3 linked regions of the Arabidopsis thaliana genome follow. The protein of the gene in region 2 interacts with the protein of the main gene of each other region in a biochemical or structural test. Each region holds a gene or a part of one and is shown on either strand. Other genes may lie near its edges.

The links.
Region 1: the proteins of GAF1 (region 2) and RGL2 form a complex in vitro, tested with the Arabidopsis thaliana proteins (one study listed by BioGRID).
Region 3: the proteins of GAF1 (region 2) and RGL3 form a complex in vitro, tested with the Arabidopsis thaliana proteins (one study listed by BioGRID).

What each region holds. Positions count from the first base shown.
Region 1 is NC_003074.8:818,822-823,404, forward strand, and holds RGL2 (RGA-like 2), read right to left. Parts: upstream 2,832-4,583; 5' UTR 2,459-2,831; coding exon 815-2,458; 3' UTR 516-814; downstream 1-515. Other genes in the region: AT3G03460 (mediator of RNA polymerase II transcription subunit-like protein), read right to left, coding at 4,248-4,583.
Region 2 is NC_003076.8:24,145,529-24,150,480, forward strand, and holds GAF1 (Polymerase/histidinol phosphatase-like protein), read left to right. Parts: upstream 1-1,570; 5' UTR 1,571-1,678; coding exon 1,679-2,113; intron 2,114-2,219; coding exon 2,220-2,297; intron 2,298-2,380; coding exon 2,381-2,461; intron 2,462-2,556; coding exon 2,557-2,711; intron 2,712-2,791; coding exon 2,792-4,050; intron 4,051-4,145; coding exon 4,146-4,255; 3' UTR 4,256-4,414; downstream 4,415-4,952. Other genes in the region: AT5G59970 (Histone superfamily protein), read right to left, coding at 824-1,135. UniProt on the Arabidopsis thaliana protein: Probable component of ribonuclease P, a ribonucleoprotein complex that generates mature tRNA molecules by cleaving their 5'-ends. May also be a component of the MRP ribonuclease complex, which cleaves pre-rRNA sequences.
Region 3 is NC_003076.8:5,763,474-5,768,262, forward strand, and holds RGL3 (RGA-like protein 3), read right to left. Parts: upstream 2,774-4,789; 5' UTR 2,415-2,773; coding exon 843-2,414; 3' UTR 516-842; downstream 1-515. Other genes in the region: AT5G17500 (Glycosyl hydrolase superfamily protein), read left to right, coding at 3,906-4,310, 4,592-4,789. UniProt on the Arabidopsis thaliana protein: Probable transcriptional regulator that acts as a repressor of the gibberellin (GA) signaling pathway. No effect of the BOI proteins on its stability.

The sequences.
Region 1 (4,583 bases), on a different chromosome or scaffold from region 2:
ATATTATTGTGCCATTGGAGTGTTCTATATATAATCCGAACCTATCCGACCAAAATCCCTACGTTAATGTCGTTTTATAATTTCCTTCTTGACTATACGTCTAGATTGAATTCCAGAAAGAATAACTTCATATATGTTTTCAAAACTGAAACCCCCCAAAATTTAGATCCACCAACTCTTAGGTAGAAGACCATTGAATTTGAGGCTTATGATCTCATAAAAGTAGAATAATTTCACCTCGCATATTTTTAAAAGTTGATAACGTACGTCAAAATCAATTTGACATCCATATTACCTCATCAAACCCATAATAAAGAGAGAGAAAAGAACAATCTGTTTCGAAAACAAAAATGTACCAAAATATATTTCGAAGAAAATCTTTTAACAAAGGCTGACATCAGTCCTCGAAACTGAAAGTACATTTTGGATCCGCCTTTTCAGAAACGCTCACGTTCACTTCCCATGTTATCAACGAAACTGTCCAAATTTGAAAAATATATGACACAAAATCATTTAAATAAATTCATATATATTGGATCAAGTAAAAAACATACAGAATCGTTATCCTTCCATTTATTGAAAACTACTTAGCTCGATCTACGATACAAGATTTTTTACTCGTTCTCTTAACTCTCAAAGATACGCACAAGGTCCAAAAAGATAAAGTTGTAAACATTTAGGCAAAAAGGTTAAACACACAAAAACTTCGGGTTAAAAAGTAAAAACATAACTAAAGTTACGGTCTCTTTTCCTAATTTTTTAAAACATTTATTGTTTTTCCCGGTTTCAGGCGAGTCATCTCTACCGCCGCGACTCAGGCGAGTTTCCACGCCGAGGTTGTGATGAGTGGTCGCGTCTGCCACCCTATCATTAAACATCCGTCATTTTCTTCAACTCTGTATCCATCTCCGGTAGCGTAAAGCGATAAAAGCATACTCGCTTGTTTAAACGCGCTAGATCCGAGATGAATCGGGTCAAACCCAGCGGATTTCATCCGAATCCTCCACTGTGCAGCCGTCTCGTGCCGCTCGACCCGATCGGACCCTTCCGCCGCAACAACGTTGAGTATCTGTCTCCCTAAGTACACTTCTGACATAACTCGGTCTTGACTCGGTAAACTATAACTGTCTTCGAGCGAGTCAAACAAGCTCGAGTAGTAATGAAGCGCTTCGTTGAACCTATCGAGGAAGACGATTCCGTTGTGGTTCGCTTCTTGCTCAACCACCGTTACGATACTCGGTTTAATAGCTTTAACCGTATTGAGAAGCTTTTCGATTGAACCGGATCGGGCTAATAACCGGTGGAGCTCAAATACCGAATTAACCACTAAGGTTTCAGATTCGGGTCGGGTTTCGAACATTTCGGGTTCAAGATCCGATAAACTCTCAGCGGCTAAGCCTTTGAATTCGAATTCAACGCCCATGTTCTGAGCGAATTGAGCTAATTTCCAACCTAACTGTTGAAGCGAATCTGAATTCTCCGTCTGCGGTGGTCCGATTCCGGTGAGACGAAACGACGGAGGTCCACCGGGTCGGAGAGCTAAAGCTTGCATTAAAGCAGGCCATTGCATCCCTTGATTAAGCCCTAAATCAATGACGTGAACTCTACGCGCCGTCGTAACAGCTTCTAGAATCGCTTGGTTCGCCGTGAAATGAGCGAACTTCAGGTAAGGGCAAGACTCGTAAAAGTGCATCTCCAAAACCTCTTCGAAAGATGGGTTCACCGCCGCGCAAACGTCCGTCTCCGCCGTGTAATCACGGTAAATACGACGAGCCAAGGCTTGAGCAAAATACGTAGCGACTTTTCCCATAGCTCCAGCTTGAGAACCCGCGAGTGTTCCCACGCGTTTCACCAGCGCGTCAGCTAAGTTGAGATTCTCCTGGTGAATCGCCTCAGCGCACGCCACTAGTGCGTGGACAAGTCTAACTCCGGTCTCCTGAGAGTCAACGAGCACCACGGACCGAGTTGACTCGTCCGACGATTCGCACCACGATCCGAGTCGGATCCTCTTGCTGCTAGCTTCCTCGTCAAAGACTTCCTCTTCCTTTGGAAACGCAGAAAGACCCGGAATTGCTCTGAGATCGTATTCGGATCTATCCACACAACTTCGGGTCGTGTCAAGATCCGAAGAAGCCGGGTTGTTCAGCTCAGAAAGCATGCTCTCGACCCAGTTAGAGAGATCAGATGGGTTATAATGAACAGAGTCGTTTAAGACAGTAGAACCAACATCATCATTAGACAAGACCATCTCAAGTTGTTCAAGCTTCTGTGCTACTTCAGCCATCTCAGAAGATCGAACCTTGTAGCCAAGAACAGCAAGAAGCTCATCATCCATGTTGCTGTTGTTGTTGTCATCATCAGCCTTCTTCTTATCCGCCATTGAAGGACCTTCTCCGGAACGAGAAGCTGGTAGTGGTTTTGGTGGCGGATCCCATGTTTCTCCGTATCCTCTCTTCATCTTTCTTGTTCTTGTGATGGTGAGTTAAGAGACTGATGAAGTTGAAAAAAAAAGAACAAAAGAGAGTTTATAAGAAAGGAGTTTACTTTACTTCATGGGTTGGTAAGGTTTTTATTAATGGGATTTGAAAAAGAAAAAAAAAAGAATTTTGTGGGTCTTTGTTGTGATTTGGTTACAGACAATTTTTGTGGAAAGAAAGGAGATTCTGAGAGGAGCAATATATAAAGCACGAGGGAGTGAGAGAGAGGTCCAATTAGAGAAGTGACTGTGAAGTGTGTTTAAGAGATAAGAATCAGAGCATGCCACTATTGTTTGGCATCTGTTTCTCTCTTTCATTTTTTCCTAACTCCAAGAAATTTACTCCTTTTTTTTTGTAGTAATGGATAATTTTCTTTATAACTGTTTAGTAGAGATTTCTAAATCTGTTTAGTAGTTTTGACCAATGGAACTTTATAACTTTTAGGTTGTAGTGTGCTTTCGTCATATTTGTTGGTAAGATGTTTTTAAGTTGTGAAGTGATTAAAGTGTCTTTTAATGATAGTGTCATAGTCTTATAGACGATCACGACTTAATTGTTCTTAAATGCCATTGAATATTGTCATATTCTCGCTTACGACTTCGTTGTTCTTAAACCCAAACGGCACCAAATGCGTGTTAAGATAATGGCACTTAAGTGTAGTTTTTTTCCTTATGTTGGATAATGTTTATTTTTTCACTAAATAATTGACATTTGATAATCAACTCTTTTCTAATGACAACTGAAAATATTGAATTATACAAATTTGATTTTCTCATATCTTGGTAGAAAGTATATAATCTTTTCCTCAGTCGAAAGTGTATAATCATGAAGCAAGAATCCTAAGTTGTTAGTGTTTGGATAAAAATACAAATTTTCAAAGCAAACAATTTTTTGTTACCAGCAGGTTTAATGTCATAGAGTAATCAGTTTTTAGAGATCATATTAAACTGAGACAACATTAGATAACTAATTATTTTATTGGTCCATAAGAAAAGTATAATCAGACACAAATATGATTCAACTATTACTCTCTTTTTTCTTGACCAAGTTCTAACATTCTGGTGATGTGAATTCTTTTTTACCATAATGATAAACAAATATGTTTTTAGCTATGTATTGTTTCACTGAGATAAAACTACAGTCTACAGCTCAAGTATTTGAGGGGGACACATGAGCAACTTCTCATGTGCCACGTAGAGGAAGACATAGCCTACGAGACGTCCACAACATAAGGTTACTTTCATTAATTTATTGCATATATCTTTCAGCAGTTTTACATACACACATCATCATCATGCATAATAATTAAGGTTTTTTCGAATAGTGGTATCGTTTGGAAACCGTAAAAGATCCTTTTGGAATATAAGAAAATAAATTATAGAAAAATGTTGTGGGGATTGTATATAGGTATGGTCCCAATCGCAGCTACAAGAAAATGATATTCGTTGTTGTGTTAGAAGTCACATGGTGCATGCTTTTCCATTTTTAGTCATTTGATGTAACTTGTGTCTAAATTGGCCTGTTTTGCTTTTGTGGTTTACATTATTTGTTACTTTTTATTTAGGATCCCTCTTTTAAAATTCATAAGATGAGAGAATCGAAACTGAAGCGCGTCATGCTCACTCGCCAAAACTAGTCCACCTCAAAGAACACTTCATCATCGTCAATTTATCTTTCACCTTATTCACTACCTTTCAAGATTTAACTACATCACCAAACTACGAGTATTTGGATAACCAAACCAAAAGAAAATCTGAGTCATGGTTTCATTTACCGAATATTCAAATCAAAATCCCCACTTCTTCGCCACTTCTCATGTTCACCATTTTCATTTTCTTCATCATTCAAGAAATCTTCTAATGGTTCCTTCTCTTCCTTCTGGCTATTATTGTTGTTGTTATTGTTCCCCCATCCATTCATCAGCAACATCATCTCATTAGGGTTCATGTTACGCCCCTGTTCTCCATGATTCCCAATCGCATTAGCTCTCAACGGGTTACGAGCCATCATCTCGGCATGAGACTGTTGAGACTCTTCTGCCCTTGCTTGTCCTGCTGCTTGAGCCAAAGCCGCCATTCTTAACCTCGCATCCTGAGCTTTCATCTC
Region 2 (4,952 bases):
AGAATAGTTTCGGAATGAGATTGATTAATGTCGTTTTGTATCTTTTCAGAATTTGTTATGCAATACGACAATTTATTCATATCACCTTCTTTTAGATCTGTATCCAATTATAGAAATTGGATGATTTGATTCATCAAATTCAAAGAACCCTTAAGATACCACTATCTCCTTTTTAAAATGGATCAAGACCTCATTATCCACTACCACTCGTGGCAAAATGAAAACTATATAAAATCAACACAAAATGGAGGGAAACTAAAATTTACGCGCTAATGAGTAAAGTTGGTTAAAGCTTCTTTACTCTCAACATTTGGACCTGACGTCTTGTCGTCGTTATTTATGGGCTTGGTGATGTTTTATTGGGCTTAAATTTTGTACATTTTAGTGCAAATAAATATTTCGTTCTAAACAATAATAACGAATCGAAAAGCCCAAGACATGTTATACTCGAGAGCCAACAGTCAAGCTGATTTCAACGTATCTCGTCACGCCACGTAGTTGATTAACAGCCGAAGATCGCCGCTGATAAAGAACTAGATTGACGGCTGACGAGTTAATACGTCTGCTCTACTGTCAAATTCACAATTCAAAGCGAGGTAGAAAATTAGAGTCAGAGTCATAAGAGATTATGAGTAATCAAACGAACTTTCACCAAATTGCGTGTTTCCATTGTTGAGAATTTAGCAAATGAAAACACATTACAAAAGCGAAATAGCAAAAAAAGGAAATCAAATCTTGCTACATTTACTAAAATACCTACATTGAAATTCTCAAATCTAATTTCCAGAAACAGATCTCCAAACACAAATCTGAAAAACCCTGATTAACCGCCGAATCCGTAGAGAGTCCTTCCTTGCCTCTTGAGAGCGTAGACAACATCCATGGCGGTCACAGTCTTCCTCCTAGCGTGCTCGGTGTAAGTGACAGCATCACGAATTACGTTCTCGAGAAAGATCTTGAGGACGCCACGTGTCTCCTCGTAGATGAGACCACTAATACGCTTGACTCCACCTCTACGAGCCAATCTTCGAATGGCAGGCTTGGTGATTCCTTGGATGTTGTCTCTCAGAACCTTCCTGTGACGCTTGGCTCCTCCTTTACCCAAGCCTTTTCCTCCCTTTCCACGACCAGACATTTTCTCGAGAGAATTAGATTTCTTTTTTTCGCTACTGTGTGAAGAAGAATTGCTTTTGATTTTCAGATATTGACTGGACGTGTTTGTTTATATATAAGAGGGCTTTTGTTTTCAACCATCCGATTTAATAACCCATCTAACGGCTGTTAAGCTCAATCCTTGTCAATACTGATATGACATGATAGCCGTCGATTGATTTTAATCAACGGTTATTAATTGTGATCCGCATGATAACTACATAAGTGTTCTTCAGAGCTTCGCTTTGTAGTTACTAGTTTGCATGGGCTGGCTTACTTTTTAATGGGCCGGTTATGGATCGAAACCAAACTTCTCTTATTTTCGAATACGCAGGCGTTTCGGTAACTGCCTCATACGTCGTCGGTTGCATAGTAAAATAAATTTATTTCTTTTTCTTCTCTTTTTTTTTTTTTGGTCGTATTTATATTTCTTCTCCTAAAATCGGTGAAGTATCTAAAAACCCGTTATTTAATGCTTAAACCCTAATCGGAAAATCTCTCCGCCACTGTTCTCTCCGACTCACTAATGGGATTCTTCGATCTTAGCATTCCGTACAATGAGCCGCCACGATCAGGTGGTAAGGAAATCGCCGGCGGGAAAACCTTACGATTAAAGCTCGCCACGAAAGCCATGGAGCTAGGCTATGTTGGGATCGCACATAACCGTTCGATCAAAGGCGTAATGTCTGACAAAGACTCTTGTACGATCCCTCTTCTCACTCTTGGGTCTCTAATCAAAGTCGCTCCGCGGTTAGCTTCTTCTGTCGGATTCCATCGCGATTTACTCGGTGTTCCGCGAACTACTCCGTTTCGGCAGTACACGCGTCTCACAGTTCATGTGGAGAGTAATGCTCAGTGTCAGAGTTTGAATTCTGGGAATCCGATTCTAAAGAGTTATGATATTATTGCTGTTAGGCCGATGAATCAGAACGCTTTCGATTATGCCTGTGAGAAAGCTGAGGTTTGAATTTCTCTCTTTTTCTGTTAAAAATTCAATCTTTAGTTTTTGTAGCTCAATTGGAGTTTTTTTAGTTAGGATTTAACTCTTAGCTTGTTTGTTTTCATAGGTTGATCTTATTTCGATAGATTTTACGGACAAGATGTTATTCCGATTGAAGCATCCCATGGTTAAAGCTGCTATTCAGGTTTGTGATTTCACTGTTAGAAGAATCTGTGTGTATCTTATTCTTTTTATTTGCTTCACCTTAATGAATTTTCTTATCTGCAGCGAGGGATTTACTTTGAGATTAAGTACTCTGATATCCTTATGGATGCACAAACGAGGAGACAAGTTATATCAAATGCTAAGGTGAGATTCTGTGGAAAATTTTATTGTCAATTAGTTGATCATGTGAAAGTTTTATGAGAACTTGCTTATACTGTCTTGTGATATGGTGTATCTAGTTACTGGTGGATTGGACTAGGGGGAAGAATCTAATTATATCAAGTGGTGCTCCTTCAGTCACAGAACTTAGAGGTCCAAATGATGTCATAAATCTCATGTTCTTACTTGGACTCTCTGCTGAAAGAGCTAGAGCTGCCATTTCAAAAAATTGTAGGTATGTATCAAATTCGTCTAGCAATTGTGTTATTTGATGCTGCTAAGCGTCATTGAGAATGGATTTTAAATTGCTTTCAGGAATATGATAGCCAAGGTTTTAAAGAAAAAACGGTTTCACAAAGAAGCTGTCAGGGTTGAATTACTTTCTGCTGGTGATACTTTTAGCCTCGAACAGCCTCTGTCTGAAGATTGCATGAAATGGGATCGCCTTTCGAGCGGTGAAGGTGACATGCTTTTGGATGATCTTGCAAAGGCTTTTGATGCCACAAATGTTGTGGCGCACAAATCCTCGAAGGCGATTGATTTCACCTCTGTTCTTGATGGCTTGCCAAAACATGGTTTCCGGGTTAAGGATATTGTAGGAACTGAATCAGTGACTCAGCCTTCTGCAGCTAAGGTGATTGACACTCAGGTGCACAGTAGTAATCAAGTTTCTGAACTACGTATGGCCACAGCTTCATCTGATGATAACCTTCGGGAAATTGAAACCATAAGCCAAATTGACATGCTGATGTCTGAAGATGACAATAAGGTGGAACCTACTACAAATGTCCTCAAAGAAGAAGCATTTGCCCTAAGGAAATGCAGTGCCAGCCATGGCCAGGGGATTTTGGTGCAAAATCAGACGGCTACTCCCTTTACACTGACAAGATGTACAAAGTCAGAAGCAGCGTCGGATGTTAGCATGAATATTGAGTCGACTTCCGAAGGTGGATCAATGTCACCGTCAAAAAGCGATCATGGGATCCCACAAAGTCCTGTTGAAGTGAATAACATGGGAAATGCTGCTTTTGAAGAAGAAGCCTCAGTGGACGAAAACAGCAAAGAAAGAGCTACTACTGGTCATGCTAGTAATGATGAGATGCATATCACTGAGTCTGGACACCACGCATCCATTGATGATGAGAAGCATATCCCTGAGCCTGAACACCTCACATCCATTGCTGATGAGATGAAAATTGATTGTTCTTCGGAAGCAAATCACGACGAGTACATGGAGGTCACAATGGAAGACCAGATGCATGAAACAGGTGACAGTAAGATTATTCTTCCTAACTTATCCTCTGAGACTACCGATTTGCTAAGTGAATCAGGTAAATCTCTCAGTCCAGATGCGGTTGTGCAAGACCATGACGAAGCATCAAGACTAGAGTCCGATGAGACAAAGCTCGAGGAAGAGGCATCAGTTCCAAACCACAACACCTTTGAGATAACAATGGAAGACAATAAGGTCGAAGAGTTAACAATTGAAGACGAGAAGGTTGAAAAGACTGAAACCGAAGCTAGTCACCAAGCCCAAGTCCAATCCTCTGAAAATAACAATGACACAAAATCAGGTACGAGATCTAAGTTTCCTCATTTGCAAATCTAACCTAACACATAAGTTTGGAGTATAGATTTCAGTCTAATGTTATATCAATCCATAATGTAGGTAAGACGCAAGCTAAGAGGAGTAGAGTTCGTTTACCGCAACTAAGGCCTTTCAAGCCTTTTCTACTTCAATCAAGGTTCAAAAGGATCAGTAAAAAAAGAAAACATTGAAGAGCTTGATCATTCTTATAAGTACAAGTTTTGTCCATTAATTTATACCCACGCAAGTCTCGTGGTTTCATTTTTGAACCGATTATAAAATGGGGGAAAGAAAGAATCTAATTTATTCTCTAGAGTTGATTCTTTGTGTACTCGTGTTCAAGAAAAAGGCTTTTAGTTAAAATATTAAAAAGGAAAAAAAAAAGTTAAAAAGATTTAAGAGTGGAGGAGTCGGTAAATCTACCGCCGGCCGACAAAAGTCGGGGACAATGTCGCCGGAGGGCCTACATCTCCCTCCATAGCCATTGCTAAAGAAGAAAGACTGCTCTCTTTCCTTTTTCAAAACTACTTTATTTATAATCTAATTGAGAAGCATTATTCTTCACATTATTACTAATTACCTACTTGTGAGAAAAATTATTCTCTTATTACTAAAGATGCCTAACATTCAAATTATTTTCACTTTTAAATAAAAATAAATGATTTTTGTTACTGTTGGAAAATAATATAGTCTTACAATCAAAGTAACATTTTTTCTTGCAAAATATCAAAAGTGCTGAGAAACTTTTCCATAGCTTTTTTTTTTGGCAAAAATAATTGCTAGTATGTTTTCCTCTAGCTTTTTTTATATACTGACTTATGAGAATGAATGTATGGGTTGATTACTTTAAGTTAGTTTATTTGAGTGGAAGCTTCTTTGATATCTTAA
Region 3 (4,789 bases), about 18 Mb from region 2:
CGATTACGACATGCTGTGGCTGTGGGACTCATGTTCCTCTTTGTTAGGAAGTCTTATATAGTTATATTTATATAAAATCAAAAGCTGATATTGTTCGGATTGTTTAGTCTTGACTACTCAGATATTGAAGTGTTGTTACGGGTAAAATCAAGAAATGGTAAGTCTGAAGATGTTCCAAGACTTGAGGATATTTAAACATTGCCATGTTTAAAGTGAGTTTAGAGAATGAGAATGTGGTCCAACTTTATCATATCTTTCTATGAATACATGTATTTTTCAAAAGTGGTGATAAAATTAGTAGTAAATATCAAGTTTTCTTTTACACATTCCTAAGCAAAACGGTTTCACCCACTTGATCAAAAGCTGACAATGAAAACCTCTCAAAAAACCCAAAAGTAGAGTTTGGACTCCGGCTTTTCAGAATAAAAAGACTCAAGTGAGGTTTAGCTTCTTTACTTCTATCATCATCATCATCTCCCAGAAACGTTAGCCTCTATGTAATAATCGAGTCGGTCCAAATTCATTCATGCGTCATTTTGTATATATTTTGGGTGAAATTAAACGTAACGTCAATTCGTTGACAAAAAATAAAATAAACGTCATTTCTTTCATATTTATTCAAACTATGAAAACACTTGCTCGTGCTGTTGTTACATACACACATGTTCCTCGTTCTCGAATCTCCACGACCAACGAACCAACTGGGTCCCAAAAGTATAAGGCACGGAATATTTCGGGCGAAATTGTCACAAAACGAAACTACTGGGGTAAGTTAAAGTAAAATAAAAACATAAGGTCACGTTCGCTAAGTCTTTTTTCTTCTCCTCTTTATGACGACGTATCTACCGCCGCAACTCCGCCGCTAGTTTCCACGCCGATGCAGCGATTAGAGGTTTCGTTTGCCACGCAAGCATTAGGCTTCCGTCGTTCTCCTCCACTCTGTATCCATCTCCACCGCCAGATAACGCCAATAGCAAACTCGCTTGCTTAAACGCGTCTGATCCGAGGTTAACCGGGTCAAACCCGGCGGATCCCATACGTTTTCGCCACTGAGCCAGCGTCTCGTGTCGCTCGATCCTATCGCTTCCTTCCGTCGCCACCAAGTTCAATATCTGTCTCCCTAAGTAAACCTCCGACATGACTCGGTCTTGACTCGGTATCACAACACCATCTTCGAGCGAGTCGAACAAGCTCGAGTAATAGTGAAGCGCTTCGTTAAACCGGTCTAAGAAAACGTCACCGTTATGGTTCGCTTCTTGTTCCACCACTGTTACGAGACCCGGTTTAACCGCCTTAACCGTCGCTAACAGCTTTTCGATCGAACCGGGTTGGGATAAAACCGGGTGAAGCTCGAAAACCGAATTAACCACTAGAGTCTCCGATTCGGTTCGGGTCTCGAACATATCCGGTTCTAAATCGGATAACCTCTCCGTCGTTAGACCATTGAATTTGAATTCGACGCCGATGGCTTGAGCCAGCTGAGCTAGCTTCCAACCTAACTCTTGAATCCCTTCTCGATTCGACGGATTCCCAACGCCGGTGAGACGAAACGACGGTGGACCACCGGGTCGGAGAGCTAAGGCTTGCATTAACGCCGGCCATTGCATACCTTGATTAAGCCCTAGATCGATTACGTGTACGACACGCGACGTCGTAACAGCTTCTAGAATCGCCTGATTGGCCGTGAAATGAGCGAATTTCAGGTAGGGACACGAGTCGTAGAAGTTCATCTGAAGAATCTCTTCGAAGGAAGGATCAATGGCGGCGGCGGAAGGATGAATCCGGTAAATTCGACGAGCTAGGGCTTCGGCGAAGTAGGTAGCGACTTTCCCCATGGCTCCGGCTTGAGAAGCCGCGAGTAATCCCACGCGCTTGACGAGAGCATCCGCGAGGCTCAGATTCTCCAGCTGAACCGCCTCGGCGCAGGCCACTAGCGCCTGAACGAGTCTAACTCCTGTCTCCTCGATAAGCACCACGGAACGAGTTGACTCGCTGGTCACTGAGTCACACCAAGGACCGAGTCGAATCCTCTTGTTGCTGTTACTATTGCTACTGCAACACTCATCGTCGTCTGTGATTGGTCTCAGATCGCAAATCCGGTTCGGGTCAAGATCCGGGTAGTAATTAAGATCCGAGAGCATGCTCTGAGCCCAACCGGAGAGATCAGAAGGATTGTAATGAACGGTGTCATTGAAGGCATTACTAGAAGAGGCAATATCATTGGACAAGACCATTTCAAGCTGTTCAAGCTTCTGTGCAACATCTGCCATGTCTGAAGATCGAACCTTGTAACCCAAAACAGCAAGAAACTCGTCCATGTTATCGTCTCCACCACCACCACAACCATTTTCTAACTTCTCCACCATTGAAGGAGCTTCTTCTTCTACAGACGTTTCTTGATGGCTTCGTTTCATCGTCAAGAAATGGAATTTTTTGGTGTTGGAATTGGTTAGACAGAAATTGTGGAAAGAAAGGAGAAGAATTTAAACAGGAGAAGGTAAGAGAGGAGAGTTAGAGAGGTCCAATGAGGGAAGTGAGGGACCTGGAGAGTGTAAGTAAAAGAGATAAGAAGGAAGAGAGGCAGGCCATTATAATTTCGCATGTGTTTTCTTCTCTATTCTTTCTTTTCCAAATTATTTCATTTTTATTACTATAACTTTATTGAATTTCTGATCCAAGTTACAAAAAATTCGTCGCTCTGATAAGGGCGTGTAGTTTTTGTTTAATGGTCCAATGGACTGTCATAGTCTATTAAACTATTTTTTAATACCCACTAAATGTTGAATTTAGAGTTTCTAGAATTATTAAATTGGGTGCTGCAGTAGATATTAGTCATATCATATGACCTATATTGATAACCCAAATAGTTCTTCTCGAGAAATGGAACTTGTAAACTCCGAAAGTAACAGCCCGTTTTCTTCAAGTATCTTGTTTCTATAACAAAATTTTAACTAGTTAACGTGACATACTGTAATAATTTTACTGACAAAATTTGATATTTATTTTTTTAAATGATACTATCTCCTAATAATTTGTTTGCCGAAATGGTATAAAATAATACTAATTTTTAAAAAAGTTTGAGAAGAAAATAGAGGTCCCGATAGAAGTACAGCTCAAAGTATTGCAGTTAGGGAGACAACGTGACCAACCTCACGGTCGACATGTGGCGGCAGTCGACATTAGGTATCAGACGTCTACAACATTACGTTGCTTTCTTATTATTATTATGTTTTCATTTCTTTATGTGTGTAAATTGAATTTTATTCCCCATACCAAAAACATCATTTTAAACATGATAGTTACATATATAGAAGATTTTTATAATAGAGTAGAACTGAACATAAAAATAGATTTCACTCTTGAATTAGTTTGTTGGTCTAAGTACAAATGGCTTATTATTTTCCGTTTTGTGAAAATAATGTATAATCCTGTATAAAATAAAGTTTCGAGTAATTTTATATGACTTAGCGAATGAATACACAAGCTAAATATATTAGTATATTACCCTTCGTTCGTTGATATATTGGCAATTTTGAGGGAAACAAATAAATGACGAGACTATTTAATGGCCGGATACGTTTTGAAATGTTACCCAAGTTACTTTCTCGACATTTTAGGCGGATGATCCATTGACTAATTATCCTCTTAATTATTCGAACAATAAAAAAAACTACACTATCCAAAACGTGTGGTAAGAAGATATTTATCCACAATGTTCCGTAAATATCTCATTTATTTACATTTTGAAACCTATCATCAAACTAAGTAACCAACCCTGAAATATTTAGTCAATTATCTTACAAAAGAAACTCAACAAATCCCCTATCATTGTGACAAAAACCCTTGATTTCACTCTCTATATATACTTAATGATCTTCCTAAAACACAGTCACAACGAAATAAGCATGGCAAAAGCAATCGCTTTAACTGTCTTTTTGTTCTTATTCTTGTCATTAATATCTCTAACCCTAGCAACAGATTATCCACTATTCACAAAGTCTCGATGGATCGTAAACAACAAGGGCCACCGCGTGAAGCTAGCTTGCGCGAACTGGCCTTCGCACCTCAAGCCAGTGGTAGCAGAGGGGCTGAGCAGCCAGCCAATGGATTCAATATCGAAAAAGATAAAAGACATGGGATTCAATTGTGTTAGGCTCACTTGGCCACTTGAATTAATGATTAATGACACTTTAGCCTTTAATGTTACCGTGAAACAATCATTTGAGAGATATGGATTGGATCATGAGCTTCAAGGGATTTACACTCACAATCCATACATTGTCAATACTCCTCTCATCAATGTCTTTCAGGTATAAATACATAATTAATCATGTGATTCTAGTATTACATAATTTCTTCAACTCAAACAAAAACTATTCTTTTCATGTTCAATTAAAAATCCATGGTTTTTAAATAAGTCATTTGTGACTGAAAAATATGACTAAAACATGTTTTATCTTATATTGCAATAATGATTATTTTTCCATTTCTTTTCAGATCTGATCATCGTTGTAATGAAAAAAATATATTTCACATGCTTCTTGTTTTTACTATATGATATCTTCTAACGCAAGGCAACATGTTTGTGTAGGCTGTGGTGTATAGTCTTGGGAGGCATGATGTGATGGTGATACTTGACAACCACAAGACCGTACCGGGGTGGTGTTGTAGCAACGATGACCCGGACGCGTTCTTTGGCGACCCAAAATTCAACCCGGATCTATGGATGTTGGGTCTTAAGAAGATGGCCACAATATTTATGAACGTGAAAAACGTTGTTGGTATGAGC